2 linked regions of the Elephas maximus indicus genome follow. The protein of the gene in region 1 interacts with the protein of each later gene in a pairwise test. Links are inferred from orthologs where the notes say so. Each region holds a gene or a part of one and is shown on either strand. Other genes may lie near its edges.

Evidence for each region.
Region 2: the proteins of keratin, type I cytoskeletal 15 (region 1) and SMARCD1 interact in binary tests that used the Homo sapiens proteins (3 or more experiments, as listed by UniProt). The two-hybrid records come from large-scale screens. The link is inferred for Elephas maximus indicus from reciprocal best matches to the Homo sapiens genes KRT15 and SMARCD1.

What each region holds. Positions count from the first base shown.
Region 1 is NC_064837.1:48,602,996-48,612,965, forward strand, and holds the start of keratin, type I cytoskeletal 15, read right to left. Parts: upstream 4,551-9,970; 5' UTR 4,505-4,550; coding exon 4,160-4,504; coding exon of another isoform or gene 3,950-4,159; intron 1,856-3,949; coding exon of another isoform or gene 1,773-1,855; intron 1,557-1,772; coding exon of another isoform or gene 1,400-1,556; intron 1,113-1,399; coding exon of another isoform or gene 951-1,112; intron 835-950; coding exon of another isoform or gene 709-834; intron 607-708; coding exon of another isoform or gene 364-606; exon of another isoform or gene 253-363; intron 1-252.
Region 2 is NC_064822.1:105,498,056-105,507,977, forward strand, and holds the start of SMARCD1 (SWI/SNF-related matrix-associated actin-dependent regulator of chromatin subfamily D member 1), read left to right. Parts: upstream 1-5,114; 5' UTR 5,115-5,341; coding exon 5,342-5,518; intron 5,519-6,161; coding exon 6,162-6,349; intron 6,350-6,627; coding exon 6,628-6,670; intron 6,671-6,764; coding exon 6,765-6,887; intron 6,888-7,358; coding exon 7,359-7,481; intron 7,482-8,531; coding exon 8,532-8,648; intron 8,649-9,922. Other genes in the region: ASIC1 (acid-sensing ion channel 1), read left to right, coding at 282-435, 865-956, 1,796-1,875, 1,959-2,063, 2,227-2,331. UniProt on the Homo sapiens protein: Involved in transcriptional activation and repression of select genes by chromatin remodeling (alteration of DNA-nucleosome topology).

The DNA of each region.
Region 1 (9,970 bases):
AATACAACCAACCATTTCACCTTTCTAAGCCTTAGTTTACCCCTCTGTAAAATGGGTACACTGCTTATTTCAGAGTTGTCGTAAGGAACAGGTTAGATAAATGAAGACCACTGCAAACAGGAATTACAGGAACAGTATGTGAGTGCACTCCCTTCCCTTTCCTGGGACAGGATGGACCTTGGTCCAAATAAAATCTAACTAGAGCCAAGGCCTGGTCCACCCCATGGGCTGAAAGAACAAACCAAATGTCTTTCCATAAAGTTTTATTGGCAGTTCTGGGGGAAGAAACAGGGTCAAGGGTTCCTTCCCTTCTCTACCCCTGCCCGGAGGGATCCCTCTGCAGGAGGGCAGGAAGCCCAGGACTCAGTAGGCCTTGATGAGGGGCAGGGCATCCTGGCCCTCGAGCAGACTGCGGTAGGTGGCAATCTCCTGCTCCAGCCGTGATTTGATCCCCAAGAGCTGCTGGTACTCCTGATTCTGCCGCTCGGTGTCAGCACGCACTTCGCTCAGCTGGGCCTCAATACTGCTGATGAGCGCCTGGATCTGCGCCAGCTTGGCCCCGAAGCGGGCCTCCGTTTCCGCCAGCGTGCCTTCCAGGGCAGCTTTCTGAGGGCAGGAAAAAGGAGGACCATGACTCTGCAGAGCCCTGTCCCCAAAGAAGGCACAGCCACCCCACCACGAGGCTCCCACGGGGTCTGGGGCACATACCATGCTCAGCTGTGACTGTAGCTCAATCTCCAGGCCCTGGAGCTTGGGCCGCAGGTCAGTCACCTCCGTCTTGCTGATCTGGAGTTGTTCTGTGTGGACAGCGACCTGCCGGTCCAGCTCCTCGGTCTACAACAAGCGGAGGGAGGAACAGGCATTCAGACAGACCTTTGGCTGCGGGGGCAAGGGGCATCAAGCCCTCTCTCCTTGCCCCCTCCCCAAGGGCACCTGCTTCCCCTCCATACCCGGCTGATAAACCAGGCTTCAGCATCCTTCCGGTTCTTCTCGGCCATGACCTCATATTGGTTTCTCATGTCGGTCAGGATCTTGGCAAGGTCGATGCCCGGAGCAGAATCCACCTCCACACTGACCTGGCCACCCACCTGGCCCCTCAGGACACTGATTTCCTGGAAAGACAGAAGAGATGGGCATGTCAGGACCCTGAGCCTACTGGGCCTGGGCCAGGTCACCCTCCTCCCCTGGCTCAGCCCAGGCCAGATGGGACTGGTTCTCAGGTGTAGACCCAGGAGCCACCACTGTGGAATAAGCTGGGTCACCACGCTCCCCTGCTGGAACCCCAGGAGCCATGCCGAGGGTGCAGCAAGTATAGCCAAGCTCAGGGAATCCAGGGTAGAAAAATGTCCTCAGCCCTGGGAAGCTGGGGCAGGATGGGAAGGCCCAGCCTAAAACTCACTTCCTCATGGTTCTTCTTCAAGTAGGCCAGCTCCTCCTTCAGGCCTTCGATCTGCATCTCCAGGTCGGTCCTGGCCAGGGTCAGCTCATCCAGCACCCTGCGCAGGCCGTTGATGTCGGCTTCCACGCTCAGACGCAGGGCCTGCTCCGTCTCAAATCTTTCAGAAGAAACAGGTGCAGCCAGACCAGGTTACCCCTGTACCTCTGAGGACGACCCCACCTCCCAGAGTTCAGAAATCCATGGGGGCGGTTTCTCCAGGCCAGCTGGGGTGGGTGAGGTAGAGTCCAGACCCCACTGCGCTGAGCCCCACACGGGCCTGGGATTGGCCCTCACCCTGCCCTGGCTCCCGGATGCCCCCAGTGCAGACACTCACTTAGTCCGGAAGTCATCTGCAGCCAGACGGGCATTGTCGATCTGTAGGACAATCTTGGAGTTTTCAATGGTGGCAGCAAGAATCTGGAAGGCAGCAAGCAAGAGGTTGGCACCCGTTCAGCATATAAACACTGCGCACCCACTTTCTTCCCAGAGGAAAGAGAGGAGTAAATGAATATACCCCCCCATTCCCTAGACACCAGGGCCCCTGGCACCCATCGGCTGCCCATTGGCCTGCTCTCTGGGTGGCTGTGGACTCCACGCCCAGGAGCTGGATCAAGAGCAAGTGCCGCCTGGGAGGCAGGGGCTGGCCAACGGGGAGGTGTATGGTGAGGGGAGGACAGAAGGATAGCCTAGGGAGAGACCTGTGCCCAGGGACACTTGCATGCCCTTAAGGGAGGCAACCTCTAGTGATCTATAAACCCAACGCAGGGAAGCAAGGGGGGAACGGGGCAAGGGCAGCATCAAGGGCTTACTTCTTTGTTGGCACTCCCCCCTTAAGCCACATTCTGCCCTCAGGGAAGAAAATTCCATTTTTTGAGCATCAAAGTGGTGTAATGGTTAAGTGTTATGGCTGCTAACCAAAAGGTTAACAGTTCAAATCCAACAGGGGCTCCTTGCAAACTCTGTGGGGCAGTTCTACTCTGTCCTATAGGGTCACTATGAGTTGAAATCAACTCGACAGCAACAGGTTTGGTTTTGGTTATTATATCCCAGGCACTTTGCACCTCATCTTCCAGCCTATGGAACTTCACTGCCAGGTCAGTGGATACTCCTATTTTAAAGAAAAGGAAACTGAAATTCAGGGTACTTTGTCCAAGTTCACCTCACTAGTAAACGGCAGGGCGAGATTTGACCACAGTGCTCTCGGACCTGAGGGGGCCTATTGGCATCATCCAGCCTATCATCGATTAGTGTTCTTAGATACTTAGGTTCCAAAGAGCCAGTCGTGACTCATTAGTTAATGTACCGGGTGATGGTCTGCATCAGTTTTTGTTTGCCTGTTTGTTTGTTTTGTTCTGTTTTCTGCATCATTTTTTTAACAAAAAAAGGGCCAGAAATATAAAATATCGGAGGGCATCACCCACTGTAGAATGAGAATTGTTTCAAGACTTTTGCCTCCATTGTGTGTGTGATAGAGCAACGATAAATGTGTGAGTGTGCACAGTAAAACTTCTTTCTTACTGGAGGTAACAGTTTTAAAAGTGTGTGAAGCACTCTTCTAGTTGGCTGTTTCTATCTCGGCTCTCCTCACTTTCCCCTGGGTCTGTTCTTATCCCAGGCACCCAGCCCCGGGCCCGGTGCCTGCTGGGCCATGGGAAATGTTGCTGGGAACTGCCTGTTCAGACATCCAGCAGGGGGGTGGTTAAATATCCCACTGGCTCCTGATACATTTCTTCAGGACACAGCTCTTCCCTGTAGGCGGTGACCAAGCCCACCCCTGACGCCCCTTAAGATACAGGTTTAAGAACCTGTGGCTCTGACTCCTGGAATCCAGCCCAGGGCTCCCCACCCCACAGGTCAGACAGCCCCTGCTGCACCTGGTTCTCCCCAACAGAGGTCTTCACAGAAAAGGACCCGCGGCCTCTGCAAAGTCCCTTCTTTACCCTGCCCAGGGGCCACAGCTGGCCTCTCCCATTCTCCGAGCGCCTCTTAGGCCCAGCATGGCCCCCTGGGCAGCGGAGGAGGGGCTTTGGCCTGACGCTGATGGAAGCCGACCCAGCAGGCCAGAGAAAAGGAATACAGAGACCTCACACCGGGGACTGCAGGGAGCCCGTCAGGCCCGGGAGGGGGGAGGAGGGAGCCCTAACTCTTGCATCTCCCTGTTGCTGCCGCGGCCTCTGGCCTGGCCACTGAGCAGACCACACGCGCGCCCCATCTCCTCCCACTCCTAGCACCCCCTTTCCTCAGCCTCACCGGCCCCGCCCCCCGCCTTCTACAGGCCCCACCCACCTACCCCGCCCGCCCAAGTCCCCGCCCCTCCCAGCCACCCGGTCCTCACTCCCTGCCCTCCCTCCTCCCGTGCTGTCCCTCCCCTGCCCCCAGCTCTCCGCCCCGCCCTGCGGGCACTCCCACTCCCTAACGGGCTCCTTCCCGCCCCGCTCCGGCCTCGCCCGGCCCGCGGGGCTGGGTTTCCCCGACGGCAGGTGCACTTGCCGCGGCCCGACAAGTGCCCACCTTGTCCCGCAGATCATCGATGGTCTGGTAGTACTGGCTGTAGTCGCGGGAGGGCCCGGGGCCCTGCTTCTGGTACCAGTCGCGGATCTTCACCTCCAGCTCGCCGTTGGCCTCCTCCAGGGCGCGCACCTTGGCCAGGTAGGAAGCCAGGCGGTCGTTGAGGTTCTGCATGGTGAACTTCTCATTGCCCGCCAGCAGCCCGTCGGACACGGCCAGGGCGCCCGCATAGCCGCCGCCATAGCCCCCGGAGGCGGACGAGGACACGAAGCGGGCGGACGACACCGACACGCCGCGGCCGCCCGAGCCCCCGTGGATGCTGGGCGCGCGGAAGGCACCGCCCCCACTAAAGCGCACGGAGCCGCCGCCCAGGCCCCCGAAGGACGAGGTGGCGGACGACTGGCGATAGCTGTAAGAAGTCATGGCGAAACGGAGGATGCAGAAGTCGCTGGCCCTAGGAGCTGCGGTCGGCAGGAGGAGTGGCGAGGCCCTCACCTGGCGCCTTTTATGCCCCGGCGGGCTGAAAGGGGGAGGGGGAATGGTGTCAGAGGCGGACATCTGAGCCCCGAGGAATTCGCAGGCTCCTGTGTGCAAATATGGGCCCTCTCCCCATTGGCCAGTGGCTGGCGGCTCTGCCCCAACTCACCCCTCCCAGAGATTAGAGGCCCCTGCCCTCCGCAAGAGCTGACCCCACCTACCCCAGCACACACCCATCACATTCTGGATCCCTCCCTCCTCCCCCGGAATTCCCATTCTGACCTTCACCCATTAAGAAGCCCAGAGTTTGTCACCCCACAAGAATTACAGGCCCCTTGAGATTTTTTTGGGGGGGGGGAGGGGGTTGAGATTATACTCCCACACCACCTTCCAGCGACCACACACTCAGAGCCCCCCACATCATGTTCTGAGCCCCTTCCCTGTGATACACTCCACCACGCCCCTCCCCCCCCCCCCCCCCACTAAGAGTACACTGGCCAGAAGCTCACACCCACTTGGACTAACAGCCTCAGAGCCCTCTCTCCCTTGACTCCCGTCAGTTCTCTCTGACAAAGGCACAATTTCCGGGTGGGGGTGCCCTGAGCCACAGGCTCCCTGGCCTCCCTGAGGCTAAGCAGCCCCACCCAGCTGCAGCCATACAATGCCCCCAGGTGACAATAGGCACAGTCCAGGAACAGCTGCAGGGAGCCGTTCAGGCAGCTGTAAACTGGACCTTCACAAACCCCAGCTCAAGCCTGACTTCCACCGGGGTGCTGACCCCTACTCAGGGATTCTCACCCCAACCAAACAGCCATCTACCCTTCAGCCTCAGGAGCAAGCATTCATTATCACACATTTATTGAGCTTCACTAACATTCCCATGAGGAAGACTCTGAACCTGAGGGAGGCAACTAACTTGCCCATGAGGTATTTAGCACGTGCCACCCAAAGACAAAAATAAGATGGAGTCCCTACCCTGCTTGTGAGCACCTCAGAGAGGGCTACAAGCCTGAGTCCTGGTATAGCGAGTCCACATCCTAGTGCAGGGATTAATGACTGGAGCTAGGGAACGTGTGCAAAGGTACTCATCCACAGAGTGAAGAGTCGTGATAACAGAGTAGAAGAAGGACCCCCTCTGCACTACACACAGCCCCAGCCCTTCTTTTATCCAGTAATTCCACCCCCATTTTTTAACCCGTTTGGAGGGTCAGGCCCCCTGCTGGACACCCCTGGTTAGGGGGACTGCAACAACCTCAACCCCCGGTCCTATTTCCAGTGACCTCACCACTCCTCAGAATTGTCCCCAGGGTTCCTTCTTGTCCTATGTCAGAGCAGTCACCCACTCTCAGAACAGAGGCCCTGTGCTCTTTTGAGAAGGTGTTAGGAAGATAGGCCAATCACTTTCCATCTCCAGGCCTCAGTTTCCCCCCTGTGAAATAAGGGGTGTCCCACCTCAGCCCTCCTCTCTGCATATTCTCACCTGGGCCACCTGTGACTAAATGAAGACTTGTCCCTAGCCTCTGAAACCTAAGTCCCCAGCAAACCGTCTTCCAGCCACCAAGTTATCCTGAAATGAACAGGAAATGCCCACATGCTCCCCCAACCCAGTAGGAGCCACCCTCACCCTTAAGAAGTGGCAGCTTTGGGCACTAGTTTATAGTGAGTCTGTTGCAGGAAGATGGCAGGTAGGTCCCGGGAGCCCAAAGGTGGAAGAAGGCTTGACCCCAGGCCGGCCCTGAAAACAGGGTGCGGTGGGGCCTTCACAAAGATTGTAGCCACCAGGGCTGGCCCGACAGTGAGTCACTCCTTATCTGGCCCAGAGGAGGCCTGCTTCTCTGGGGAGGGGGAGATTAGCCAGATAGTTGCTATGCACACCAACCCCCAGCTGGGATTTGTTTTTCTGGCCGAATAGGAGGTTCTGGGAAGGGACACTGTTAGGAAACAAAGAATAGGACCAACAATTCTACCCCGATAATTAAGGGGTTCTGAGCTCTCTCACTCCAGAGGAGCTTGGAGCCCCAGGCCCTTCCCCGGGGCCCGATTCATAAGAACAATTGACAATAGGGTGGTACAGTTGACAATAGGGTGGTACAGTTGACAAAGCCTTTTCAGATCTCACTGGATCCTCACGGCAACCCCGGTGGCAAAGATGTTCTTGTCCCCATTTTATAGATGAATAAACAGAGGCTCCAAGAAGTGCAGTGACTTACTGGCAGTCCACAGCCAGGAGTGTCAGAGTCTTACATGCAGCCTGTTGACCCTCAGCCCCATGGCCTGGAATCTTGAGTGTGAATCACAGCCCTAAAACAGATACACAAAAATAAAACTGTACACAACTCTTTTGTCCCCTTCCCCAAAAATCTTATCATGCCAATTCCAAGGGCAGTCAGCCCCAGGTAGAACTGTGGGCTGGGATCAGGGAGAATCCCCTACTCTAACTCTCTGGCCAGAAACAGTACTGGGCCAGGAGCCAGGTGCCTACCACCTTCCGCCATGGGCTTTTGGCCACTTCTCTGATACCATGAAGAACTCAGAACAGTCTGTCCCTAGAGCTGCCCTCCCCAGAGATGGAAGCGAGGGACCAAACTGTTGCTTTCATTCAGAAAACAGACTGCATCGCCAGGGTTTTCGAGTCTGCCTCTGGCCACATAAGAGCTGAGCCTGATTTGAGTTGTATCCTTCTACCCTAATAAACCACCTCATCAAAAGTACAGTCCATGAGCTCTGTGAAGTGTTCCAGCAAACGAACGAACCCAGCAGAGAAAGTGCCGTGAGTGGGTGGGGGTTAAGAGGAGAGCTGGTGTCAGAGATAATGGAGAAGTTGGAAAGTGGGCATATACTTGAGCTCTGCCTCTCAGGAACCAGCTTTATGCTGATTCTCACTCACAAAGATATCCGTTTACTGAGGAAATGGGATGCTGGTTGGGACCACTGGAAAGAAGCTGGGGGTGAGAGTCCCAGTCTCAAGGTAGAATGGAATGGTGTAATGATGGCGATGATGACAATGACTGTGATGATAAGGGTGATGATGATGATGATAGCCAGAATCTATTGTGCCAGCTGCTGTGTTAAACACTGTATACATTATGTCAATTAATCCTTATACCAACCCTGTGAGCTAAGTATTATCATCCCCATTTTACTGTCAAGAAAACTGAGACCCAAAAAGGTTGATAACTTGGCCAAGATCACACAAGGTAGCAGTGCACCACCTATCAAGCCCAGATCTTTAACTCCCAAAAGTCCTAACCACTGACGCTATTCCTCCTTTTGCAGGATGGGCGTCAAGGTGCCCTCCTCTACCTACCCTGGGGAAAGTGTCATCAAGTTAAGGGAGGCACAGTACCACCTGTCAAGGCCCTAGCTTGTCCTCCGTGCTCTAGTACACAATTATTTGGTCAATCAGTGGGTCATGCAAGCAAGACTCCTCAAAGTTCAGCCTATCAGAGAAGACAAATTCATGTGTTTGAACAGAGCATCATTTGTAAGATGGAGGAGAGACAAGTAATATTGTGGAATTGTGGAATCCTTCATGAACCTGTAAATTGTAAATTAATGACCCCTTACCCAGGAACCATCCCCTTACCTCGGGGCCATCCCTTTACCTACAGACCACCAACAGAAGGCGCCCAAGCCACTTTCTAACCCACTCCTCCATTCACCCAGCAAGTATCTAGCCCCTCCTCATAGTTGCTGGGACACAGGCAAATATAACCTTTTCCTGCCTGTAAGAGGCTAGCAGTCTGCTAGGGGAAAGAGACATATGGATATAAATCAGTGTTGATTAAATGTGGTAGAACGAATAACTCCATGAATTTCTGCTCCTTCCTGAAACCCTGCTAGAATAACAGTTAAGAAATATTTAAAGAGAAGAAAAGAGGAGTCCACAGAAGATGAGGCATGTCAACAACAATTTTAAAATTGTAGTACTAACAGGAAGTAACACAGCAGGCCATAAGAAGCTGAAGCTAGAATTGGAGGTCTAGGAAGAGGGGCAGAGGAGAGTAGGCCGGAAAGCCAAAGAGAAGGAGGCAGATTCTCCACACAAAACCCAGAGATGCTCAGGAATTGGAAGCACTAGTTACCTTGAAAGGAGAAGTGGAAGACAGGGCCGCAAAGACAGCTGGCAGAAACTTGAAGAAACAGCACCAGGCCCCCCTCCCAGAGGCCCTACCCAAAGACGGGCAGCCGGTGACTATCTCTCCCCAGCCCAGGAGATTTGCTCTTGAGGGTTTTCGATGTCAATATATGTAGACATTACTCATTCAATTTAATTGCTGCATCTGCTCCCCTGCTTCTAGTCTAAACCACCGCCCCCCCGCCAAAATCAAACCCATTGCTGCCCAGTCAATTCCAACTCATGGCAACCCTATAGAACACAATAGAACTGCCCAATAGGGTTTCCAAGGAGTGGCTGGTGGATTCGAACTCTAGACCTTTTGGTTAGCAGCCTGAGCTCTTAACCACTGTGCCACCAAGGCTTTGCTTCTAGTCTAGCGGAGGTTTATTTTCCCCATTAGACTGACAAAATTACAAAGTTTAATAAAGTCAAGTCTTGGGGAAGCACTGGGCAAATGAATTCCCTCAAACACATTGGTGGAAGGAGAATTGTAACAGCCACTTTGCAGGACGACTTGGAAATGTCTTCTGTAAAAAATCCATAAACCTGATGAGTCGACACTCCTACTCTTCCGTATTTATCCTATAGCAACCCTTGTTCATATAGTCAGAGGGCCGTGGAAAGGATGCTCTTCGAAGCACTGTTTGTATTAGCAGAAAGACGGAAACAATCACTAGTAAAACCCAAACCCACTGCTGTCGAGTTGATTCCGACTCATGGCAACCCTATAAGAAGGAGTAAAACTGCCCATAGGGTTTCCAGGAAGCGCCTAGTGGATTCAAACTGCTGACCTTTTGGTTAGCAGCCAAAGTCTTAACCGCTATGCCACCAGGGTTTCCACCACTAGTAAGCGGGTGGTTAAATAAACTGTGTAGCACCCATACTATGGAAGACTAGAAGCAGAAATTAAAATCAGTTATGCCTCTGTATATTGACATTGAAAACTCTCAAGAACAAGTTCTTAGATAAAATAAAAGCAGTAAGAGAGCAATTAATGCTTAGACCTATACTTAAAAGACTATGTATTTTTACAGGTAGACACAAATATGTATGAAAGCATACAGATAAGGAAGGAGACACATCAGAAGGACAATAGATACTTCCTTTGAAGTGAAACTGATTGAAGGATAGTAGTCAAGGGGAAAGGAGCCCTCATGGCGCAGTGGTTATGTGCTTGGCTCCTAACTGAAAGGTCGGTGGTTCAAACCCACCACCCACCCTACAGGTGGAAGATGTGGCAGTCTGCTTCTGTAAAGATTACAGCCTAGGAAACCTTATCAACAGTTCTACTCTGTCCTATAGGGTCGCTGTGAGTCGGAATCAACGGCAATGGGAATGGGAAAAGTCAAGGGGAGGAGTCCCTAGGTGATACAAATAGATGAGGCACTCAGCTGCTAACCAAAATGTCAGAGGTTAGAATACACACA
Region 2 (9,922 bases), on another chromosome or scaffold:
AGCATTACAGAAGGCCCCTATGAAAAATTAGTGGGGTCACCTGGGAGGGGCCCTCACCCCCACTCATCAGCACCTCAGGTGGTTGACCCTGCAGGGACTTGAAGGAATGAGATTTAGAATTAAGAAATACTCATGGGGAGGCTGGGAGAGGATCAGCAATGGGTGGCCACCCGGCTGAGGTGAAGGGCAGGAAAAGAGACGGGGGGCCTAGGGTTCCCTTGGGCAAGGTGCTGGGAGAAGACCACCACTCAACTGGCGCCTCCCACCTGGCTCGGGTGCAGATTTCCTGGTGGAAAAGGACCAGGAGTACTGCGTGTGCGAAATGCCCTGCAACCTGACCCGCTACGGCAAGGAGCTGTCCATGGTCAAGATCCCCAGCAAAGCTTCAGCCAAGTACCTGGCCAAAAAATTCAACAAGTCTGAGCAGTACATAGGGTAAGGGCTCTGACTGTGACCTTAAGCTGGGGACTATGAAGGGTATGAGGGGTCTGATGGGAGACAGGCAGGAGGAAGCTGAGATGACATGGGGAAGGCCCAAAGAGACTGGGGTGGGTATAGAGGGAAGATCAAGTCAGAATAAGCAGGAGGAAAGCCCCTTTCTCCCCACTCCCTGCTTGGTCTTCTATCTTCATCCTCACTGCTGTAAGTGTGATCAGTTCACACTTCCCAGTGCGCATAGTATCTTTTTGTACAGAACATATCCTTTAACCCTCAGCAACCCCACAAAGCAGGTAGCTCCATTAGCATCTCATTTTATAGATATGGAGACTTAGATTCTGAGAGGTTAACTTGCTAAGGTCACCCAATTAGTAAGGGACAGAGATATGACTTGAACCTAGGTCTCCTCCCCCAACCCCACTGCAGGGAGAACATCCTGGTGCTGGACATTTTCTTTGAAGTCCTCAACTATGAGACCATTGAGCAGAAGAAGGCCTATGAGATTGCAGGGCTCCTGGGTGAGCTACTGATGGCACCTGTTCCCTTCCAGTGCTACGGACATGGCCTGGCCCCTACCACCCAAAGCAGGGTGCTTACCTCTGTCACAGGAGGCTCCCCCACCCCTAGGGGCCTTTCCCCAAATCCTATTGTCTCAGTATGTGGTGAGAAGAGGAGGCTGACACTTCTCGTCCAAAAACCCACTGCTGTCAAGTCGATTCCAACTCATACTGACCTCATAGGGTTTCCAAGGCTGTAAATCTCAACAGAAGTAGACTGCCACATCTTTCTCCTGCAGGGAGGCTGGTAGTTTCCAACTGCCGACCTTTCAGTTAGCAGTCCATTGCTTTAACCACTGTGCCACCAGGGCTCCAAGGCTTCTTTTAGAGACAGGCCTATGTCCATGAGCGCCGGGCAAGGGGTGGATGTGGGACTATCGTACATATCCCTGAAAGTTGGCCCAGACACTGAGAGTGTTCGGTTATTTTGTAAACAATTGTTTTTCCTGAAATATTACCTGTTCTAGAAAAGTAGAAAAATGCAGAAAAGCATAAAAAAAAAAAAAAGAGTGCCATCGAGTCGATTCCGACCCATAGCGTATATAGGACAGAGTAGAACTGCCCCATAGAGTTTCCAAGGAGCGCCTGGTGGATTCCAACTGCCGACCCTTTGGTCAGCAGCCGTAGGACTTAACCATTATGGGAAGAAAAGAAAAATCCCTCTAGAATCTGGCTTTGCGCTCCTTCTGTACGAAGGCTACCAATCCCCTTGCGAATACGACCTGCCCACCCCTGTCCCAGTGAGCCCGGCTGGCCTCCAAAGTGTCCGGACCCCACTGACCTCCCCGCCGCTCCTGCAGGTGACATTGGGGGCCAGATGGGGCTGTTCATCGGCGCCAGCATCCTCACGGTGCTGGAGCTCTTTGACTACGCCTATGAGGTGAGCCGGCTGGGAGGCCCGGGGCCGGGGCCACGGGGGCGGGATTCCAGCCCACCCACCCCCACGCTGCACCCCCATTGCAGGTCATTAAGCACAAGCTGTGCCGACGAGGGAAGTGTCAGAAGGAAGCCAAAAGGAGTAGTGCCGATAAGGGCGTGGCCCTCAGCCTGGATGACGTCAAGAGACACGTGAGGGAGCAAGCGAGGGGCGCCCTCCCCACCGCCTTCCTCCCCCACCACCCCAGGACCAGCCACCCCGCCCTTGGCCTCTTCTCTCCTTTCCCTCCCCCACGCCCCAGAGCCCCCTGTGGCCCTTCCGATAACCAGTCCCTATCCTGTGCCCTTCCCCTAGAACCCGTGCGAGAGCCTCCGTGGCCATCCTGCTGGAATGACTTACGCTGCCAACATCCTACCTCACCATCCGGCCCGAGGCACGTTTGAAGACTTTACCTGCTGAGCCCTGCAGGCCACTGTACCAAAGGCCTAGATGGGGAGGGCTAGAAGAGCAACGGGGCCTGCTAGCCCCATCTGTCTTGGGGACTCACCCCCCACTCTAAGGGCAGCCCCCCATTCCTAGGCAGTCCTTTCTTCTTGTCTGTGGTGAGGAAGGAGTCTTGACCTTAGGGTCTTCTCCCTGCCTCTATTCCATTCTTTTAATTTTTAACAAAACTAATCTAAGAGACACTAAAAAGAGAGAAAGGGGCAAGGGACCTTAGGCTGCCCCTCTCTGCCCCATGCTGCCTCCCCCAGCTCCCAGCCTGAATTCTGTCTGTCTGGCTGTCTGTCATCTGAGTGTCCACCTACATTTGCTGCCACCAGTCACCAAAGTCCTCTCCCAGTGGGGGGTGGAGGGGATTCCCCCCGGGGTCTGTAGTTTTCCTGAAACCAGAGAATGTACCTTGAGGGGGAGGGCTAGTGGAAGGGAGCTTCCCCAGCCTTAAGCGACCCTCTCAGCCCAGTGACCTACCCAACCCCAAGTCTCTGGGCAGGATCTAAGACCCCAGTCCCATCCCCTCACACCATGTGGAGTCTTTAGGGGGCTGGGTGGGGGGATTCACTGAAGAAGTAGATATGGGGGCAAGGTGTGGCCCTGGTGCTGTAGGCCACATCCTGATACCTACAAGCTCACCCTCACCCCAGAGCTGTAGCTGCTGGAGAGAAATCCCAAGAGACAGCCTCCACTGTCCCATAAAAGACCCCGCTGGTTGGCTTCCAGCTCAGGGAGAGGAGCACTGGTGCCTGACCTCACTGGTCCGTCTCCCAGGGGCCCCTGCAGAGGGCCACATCCATAAATTTTCTTATGGAACTCCCCCAAGTCTGCTTCCCCAACTCCATTTGCTTCTCTCAACAACCTCATCTGCATTTTCTATTTCTATATGATACAGACTCTATATTGCTATATCTCTGTATATACTTCCCCCAACCTTGTCTGTCTCCACCCCATCCCCTCTTGTCTCTGAGAACCACCCGCCCCAAGATCCCCCTTGTGTGTCTCTGCCTCCTCCCTGGTCTCTGAATGCCTTCGCCTGTATAAAGAGTTGGACTCTCTCCCCTGGTGTCTGTACTGTGTACACACATCCCTCTGAGAAGCACAAGGAGACGACACGCGCATTGTAACCTTCGCACTGTCTTGGTGGCGACATAAAGGAAGCTGTGAATCACAAGCTCTGCCTCTTTCTGGCCTCACCCTCTCCCCCTATTCTGGGCACCCTCTGCCCTCCCTGCAGCCTTAACATTCCCGTCCCCTGCTCCATCCACCCCAATGCCCTTTGCCTGGCTGACTGCAGCCTCCCCAGGGAAGGGGTTGTAACAGAGATAGTCCTTACCCAGGAGATGAAGACTGCTCTGGAAATTAAGCCAAGAAGAACTTTTCCCAAGCTGGCAGCCTTTTTTCAGATACAAAAGGGAGCTGGGGATTGGTAACTCTCGCAACTGGGCAGCAGGGTGTAAACAGGCAGAAAGGAAGGTCCCCAGTCAGTGGCCTTTTCCTCCTTCTGGGTGCCCAACCCCTTTCTCTCTCTTCATACCCAAGCCTACCACTCATATTTTCTGGCGAGGTGGGCTTTGGTAGTAGGAGGAAAGAGACAGGCCTAGAGGGGGAGTTGAAAGCTTTGCTGTTCTGTTCCTCTCTCCTTAATGAGAGATGAGTGATGGAGAGGGCCTGCCTCCCTCACCCCCCACCCCCTGTCCCAGGCATTCCTCCCAGGCCAGAGTCCCAATCCCTTCCTAGGTGTTTTCTGCTCAACTGTCTCTGGGTCTCCAACCCCAGGACAGGATCTGTGGGCAGGTCACCTGTGCATTGGCCTGGAGTTGGTGAGTAAGGCTGTCGGATCTTTGGGAACTCTTTGTTTGTAGGAGTTGCTTAGAGACCAGACCTCCCCAAAGGGAAACAGTAGCAAGGCCAAGAAGTGTGCAGTGGATGGGGGAACAGCAGGCGGGACTCTGCGTGACGCATGCGTCTGGTCTAATAAACTGGGTTTCAACCATCTCCTCTTCAGTGTTGTTCTTCACTTATTTGAAAGGTAGTTAGGTCTTCCCATGAAGTGCTTAGCACTGGACCTTAGCTTGGGGCCAATCAGAATGAAGAGTAAGGAGAGGGTTTGATTGGGAGGTCCTGATGCTCTTGGGATGGGGCAGGCTGACCATCACGAGGGAATGGTTTGAACTAGTTTGAACTACAATACTGGGCAGGGAGAGAGGGAGGGGTCAAAAGCAACAAAGACCTCAAAGAGAAGCTCCACCACAAAGGATTCCTTGAAGAGCTGGATCAAAATTCAAGATACACTGGAATGTTAAATCTGGAACGAGTTAGGTTAAAGGTCAGGGACAAAGTTGGGCTGAAGTTCCAGTGTGAGGTGGTTATTAAGGCACTTTATTTTTTATCCGTGGAATGAACTACGGGCTAGGAGCCAAGAGATCTGGATCCTAGGAATGACTCTGCTGTAACTTGCTGGTTGACCTTTGCCAAGTCATTTACCCTCTTTGAGCTCAATTTTCCCGTTTGCAAAATGGAATAAACAGTGCGTTCCTCTCCTCAGCCCCCCAGAGTTATAGCGGTAAGGGAATGAAACGGAAGATAATCAAAGCGCTTTGGAAAGTTAAAAGTACTGCGCCAAAATGAAGCATTTACTCCGCCACCCTCTTCAGAGGCTTAGGGCAGGGTCTGTGAGTGCCCTCTCCAGGTCTTTCTCTTCCTCCGGTCGGCCTGGGGGCGCCCTCTCTCAGGGCCTCTCTAGCCTAGAGTTCGTCTCTATGGTTTTCGACCCTGGACCATGAAGGCGGGAGGGAGTGGTCAGCGCAGCCTTTTCCGCTGGTCCCCCCCACTCTAGCCCACAGTCTTGCTGCCCTAAGCCTCCCGAGCCGGCCGGCTGGCCGGGCTGACAGGCGGGCGCTCGGGGGGCGCGCAAGGGGCGGGGGGAGTTCCGGTTCCGGTTCTTTGTGCAGCTGCTGCGGCGGCTCCAGAGAAGATGGCGGCCCGGGCGGGTTTCCAGTCGGTGGCCCCGAGCGGCGGCGCCGGAGCCTCAGGAGGGGCGGGCGCGGCGGCCACCCTGGGCCCGGGTGGGACTCCGGGGCCCCCAGTGCGAATGGGCCCGGCGCCGGGTCAAGGGCTGTACCGCTCCCCGATGCCCGGAGCGGCCTATCCGGTGAGTGGGGCAGGAGGAGGGGCGCGCGGGCCGGGGGCGGGGCCGAGCGGGGGCCTGGGAGTGACAAGGGTGCGGGGAGAAGTAGGAGGGACTCTCCTGGAAAGATTCAGGCCCGGGGTGGGGATGGGGGTGGGGAAGGCAGTTGGGAGGAAAGTAGGGGGAGCAGTTAGCATCCCCACCTGCTGCTAGGGGCATTGTTTCCGTAGGAAGTAAGGTTATAGGATCAGCGTGGATGAAGTGGGGCCACTAGGGGTGGGCATTTGAGGTCTGGAGTGCAGAGAGGCTGGAGCAGCTCCAGTGCCCAGAGGAAGACAGAAGGTAGAGCTGGTAAATTGGGGTCAGCGTTTACGGAAATAATAGCTGGCAGAGTCAGTGTGGGACTAGAGATGTTTGATCTGTCAGATCCAAAATAGATTGGGGAGAATTTTAGTATAAGTTGGCTGTATTCTGTGGAACCATGATTGGAGTGGAGGAAACCTAAGTTGCCCATATTTCAAAGAGTCAGAGGGCTCTCGCCTCATTTTCCTCCACCCCACACCCCAGTCCTGTTTTGTTCAAAGAACTCAGGCACGCCGAACTTTCCCTTTCCGGATGAAGTTAGCAAGGAAGGCCGTGACATCTCTGGGTCTTCTCCCCTCCATAGAGACCAGGTATGCTGCCAGGCAGCCGAATGACACCTCAGGGACCTTCCATGGGACCTCCTGGCTATGGGGGGAACCCTTCAGTCCGACCTGGCCTGGCCCAGTCAGGGATGGATCAGTCCCGCAAGAGACCTGCGCCTCAGCAGATCCAGCAGGTCCAGCAACAGGCAGTCCAAAATCGAAACCACAAGTAAGATGACCCTGGGGCAGAGGGAGGGAGGGAAGAGGTCTGTGAGGACACAGGTGGGAGTACTGTGAACCAAGAAGTGGTGGTGCTGTGTCAGCAGCCTGGTGCGTGCTGGGGAACTCATTCTGAGAATGCCTCATGCTGCTTGGAGGCAAGGGGGTTCTTTGACTTGAGAGAAGCTTTGCAGCCCCTCCACTTTATATAAATGGAGATGCTGACAGCTTGTTTTCATGTTCTGACTAGTGCCATCCCAACCTCATAACAGTATTTATTCCATACAGTGCAAAGAAAAAGAAGATGGCTGACAAAATTCTACCTCAAAGGGTGAGTCCAGGCTGTAGATCTCCCTGAGAGTGTAGTGAGTTTGAGAATAGAGATGGTCAGCTCTAGATGCCAATTATATCTTTCTGTTCCTAAGATTCGTGAACTGGTACCAGAATCTCAGGCCTATATGGATCTCTTGGCTTTTGAAAGGAAGCTGGATCAGACTATCATGAGGAAACGGCTAGATATCCAGGAGGCCTTGAAACGTCCCATCAAGGTAATGCAGGAGAGCGCTAGGCAGAGAGCTGAAGGAAAGGACTCGGGAACCTTCAGCAGGCTTAGCATGAGAAATTAAAGGCGCAGCACAGCTCTCCTTGGCATTTAAATTGCATCTCTCCCTTCCGCCTACAAACTGAGAATTACATTAGGAGCATAAGAACAGAACAGCGAGGGGGAGGAACTTTTCATGTCCCTAGCACCAGAAATACATCCTGTCCATGTTTTTGTTACAACTGCTTTGCTGCCTTTGGGATCTGGCACCCTGCATGACTTTATCCCAGTGTATGCACTCAACGCTCAGATCAGTGGCCTGTACTCCCCTTCTCGGTGGACTCTCCATTCACCCACCCCAGGGACTGGATAGACAGTAAGCCAGATGTTAGGAGTAATTTTGGGGTTTGGGGAGACCCTAGCCTTCAGCATCAGACCACTGAAGCCCCGCCATCAATCCTGTTTCTGCCTTCCTCAGCAAAAACGGAAGCTGCGAATTTTCATTTCTAACACTTTCAATCCGGCTAAGTCAGATGCCGAGGATGGGGAAGGGACGGTGGCTTCCTGGGAGCTTCGGGTAGAAGGACGGCTCCTGGAGGATGTGAGTTCAAGGTCAATGGTGGTCGGTGTCTAGGGTGGGAGCTGTGGGGAACAAGCAGTGTTGTCTGGTCAGCAGGAAGCCTGACCGGTGCTTACAATTCCTGTTGGGAGCAGCAGGGAGAGGGGAACTCTGTTCCCTGCACTGGAAGACAATGGTTCTTTGTGTCTGGCTCCCACAGCTTTGGCCCTCACTGTGGTAGCATATCGAGAACCATATTGTCCTAGGATCTGATTTGTTGTTTACGTTCTTCCTGGTGCTGCTGGCCATTGGATTTATCAGTATCTGCAGAATACTTTAGTTTTTTTTTAATTTATTTTTAATCAAGTGAGTCTGCAGTTGGCATTTGAAGCCATGATTTCCTCTCTTGAGTCGTTGAGGTCCTTGATTCCTATTGAGGCATCTCCCTTTTTCCCAGCTTTTATTGGAGACACCTCGCTGTTAAAGTGAGATAGATTTCTCTGGCAGGCTCTTGTCATTTCATAAGGAGCATCAGCTGACAGGTGGTAGCCCCCAAACTTCCCACTCTAGCGGCTCCTTGGGGAAGCTCACCTTTCTCTCATTCCCTTATACTTTGTAGCTCTCTATTTTTAGATTTTCACAGGCAAGCTTATTTGAATGCATGTTTGTAGGAGAACCAGGGCTTGGTATCAGAGGCTTCTTCTTCTCTATATGAGTCCAGTCCATCTGCTGATGTTGTCATTCCATCCAAATAAAGCTGTTTTTTGTTCTGGGTGCTTATTGCCTGTGATTAATTGCCCCTCTAGAGTCAGGCTTTCCTTTGTTCAGACTTGCTTTGTTGTTATATGCAATGATTTGGCTTAACTAGCCTCATTTCCCGTGGGGAAATGAGGTGGGTAAGTCAGTGACCCAGTGCATATTACAGGCTGCTTCTCCAGGGTTCCATTGCTACCGTGACTGGTTTAAGAGCTATTTAGAAGATATTTCTGAATGTTTTGCCATTGCTGTTGTGGGTTCCTTTTCTATGGAACTTTGTCTTGGGAAGTTTCTTCTGATCTATTCTAACATGAGCTCTCCTCTCCTCTCCTCTAGTCAGCCTTGTCCAAATATGATGCCACCAAACAAAAGAGAAAGTTCTCTTCCTTTTTTAAATCCCTCGTGATTGAACTGGACAAAGACCTGTATGGGCCAGACAACCATCTGGTAGAAGTGAGTAGTTTCTGCCTTCTAGGCTTTAACTCTGTGACTGGAGGATGGTGGACTTGGGCGTCAGATTTTACTTGGGGAGGTGTAAATTAAAGGGTTTCCCCAGGTGTACAGTACCACCGTTGTAGTTTGCACATTGACCTCCAGGTGGCACTAGCTGTGTTTAGTTCAGGTGCTGGGCCCAAGAGCACTTGCAATCTAACTTGTAACACTTTTTTAATGTTACTATTTTGGTTGCACAGAGAGGTCATTTTCTGCCCCCACTTTCAAGAGAAGTTCTAATGGTGGCTTCTTGTACATTCCAGGCCATCTCTGTGTCTTGCTCGTTAATAATGGTGAGACTTATCCACGCACCATTCCTACTTTTTCCTGGTAGCAATTGCTATAGTTAAAGGGATCGTGTAATAGTGTACTAGTATTTGTCGAGGTTACGTTTATAGATCTTGCACTTCCTATTGGTCCTTGCTCCATTTAGATTCCAAATAATCTCCAAAAATCTTTTATTGTGCATAATTGCATAATGTTCTGAAGACCATGTTAGTATTCATGTTGCAGAAGAGCATGCTAGTGACAGAACCAGAACCAGAATGAGACAGTGCAGCACTTCAAGTAAACTTAACCAGCGCCCTTCTTTCCCAGTATAGCCATAGCCCCTTAATCTCAACTAATAAGAGACATGGGAAGGTCTTTACCATTTAATAAGGGAAGTAAGTGATGGACTCAATAGCATTATGTAAATATATTTACCTTAATTTTATAGTAGTAGAGCATAAACTAAAACCATGGCAACCGAGTTACTGTCAAGTTGATTCCAAACTCATGACGACCTTATAGGACAGAGTAGACCTGCCCTATAGAGTTTCCAGGGAGCAACTGGTGGATTTGAACTGCTGACCTTTCAGTTAGCAGCTGAGCTCCTTAACCACTGCACCACCAGGGCTCCAATAATAGAGCACAGTGACTAAGAATGGGGACTGTAGAATCAGACAGAGCAGAGATCAAATCGCAGCTCCACAACTTCCTGGTTACTTGGCATTACTCAGGTTACTTCACTCTTCTAAGCATTAGTTTTCTCATCTGTAAAATAGAGTAGTGACTGTCATATGGATATTGTGGGAACTGAATGAGATAATCCAAGTAAATGGCTTATAATATTCTTGCACATAGTATTTAATAAACAATAGCTACATTATGTTACCATGTACATGTGTATTATCTGCTTTGTGGATAAAATTATCACTGGAAATTCAGGCTAATTTAAGTGTGATTCTGAACAG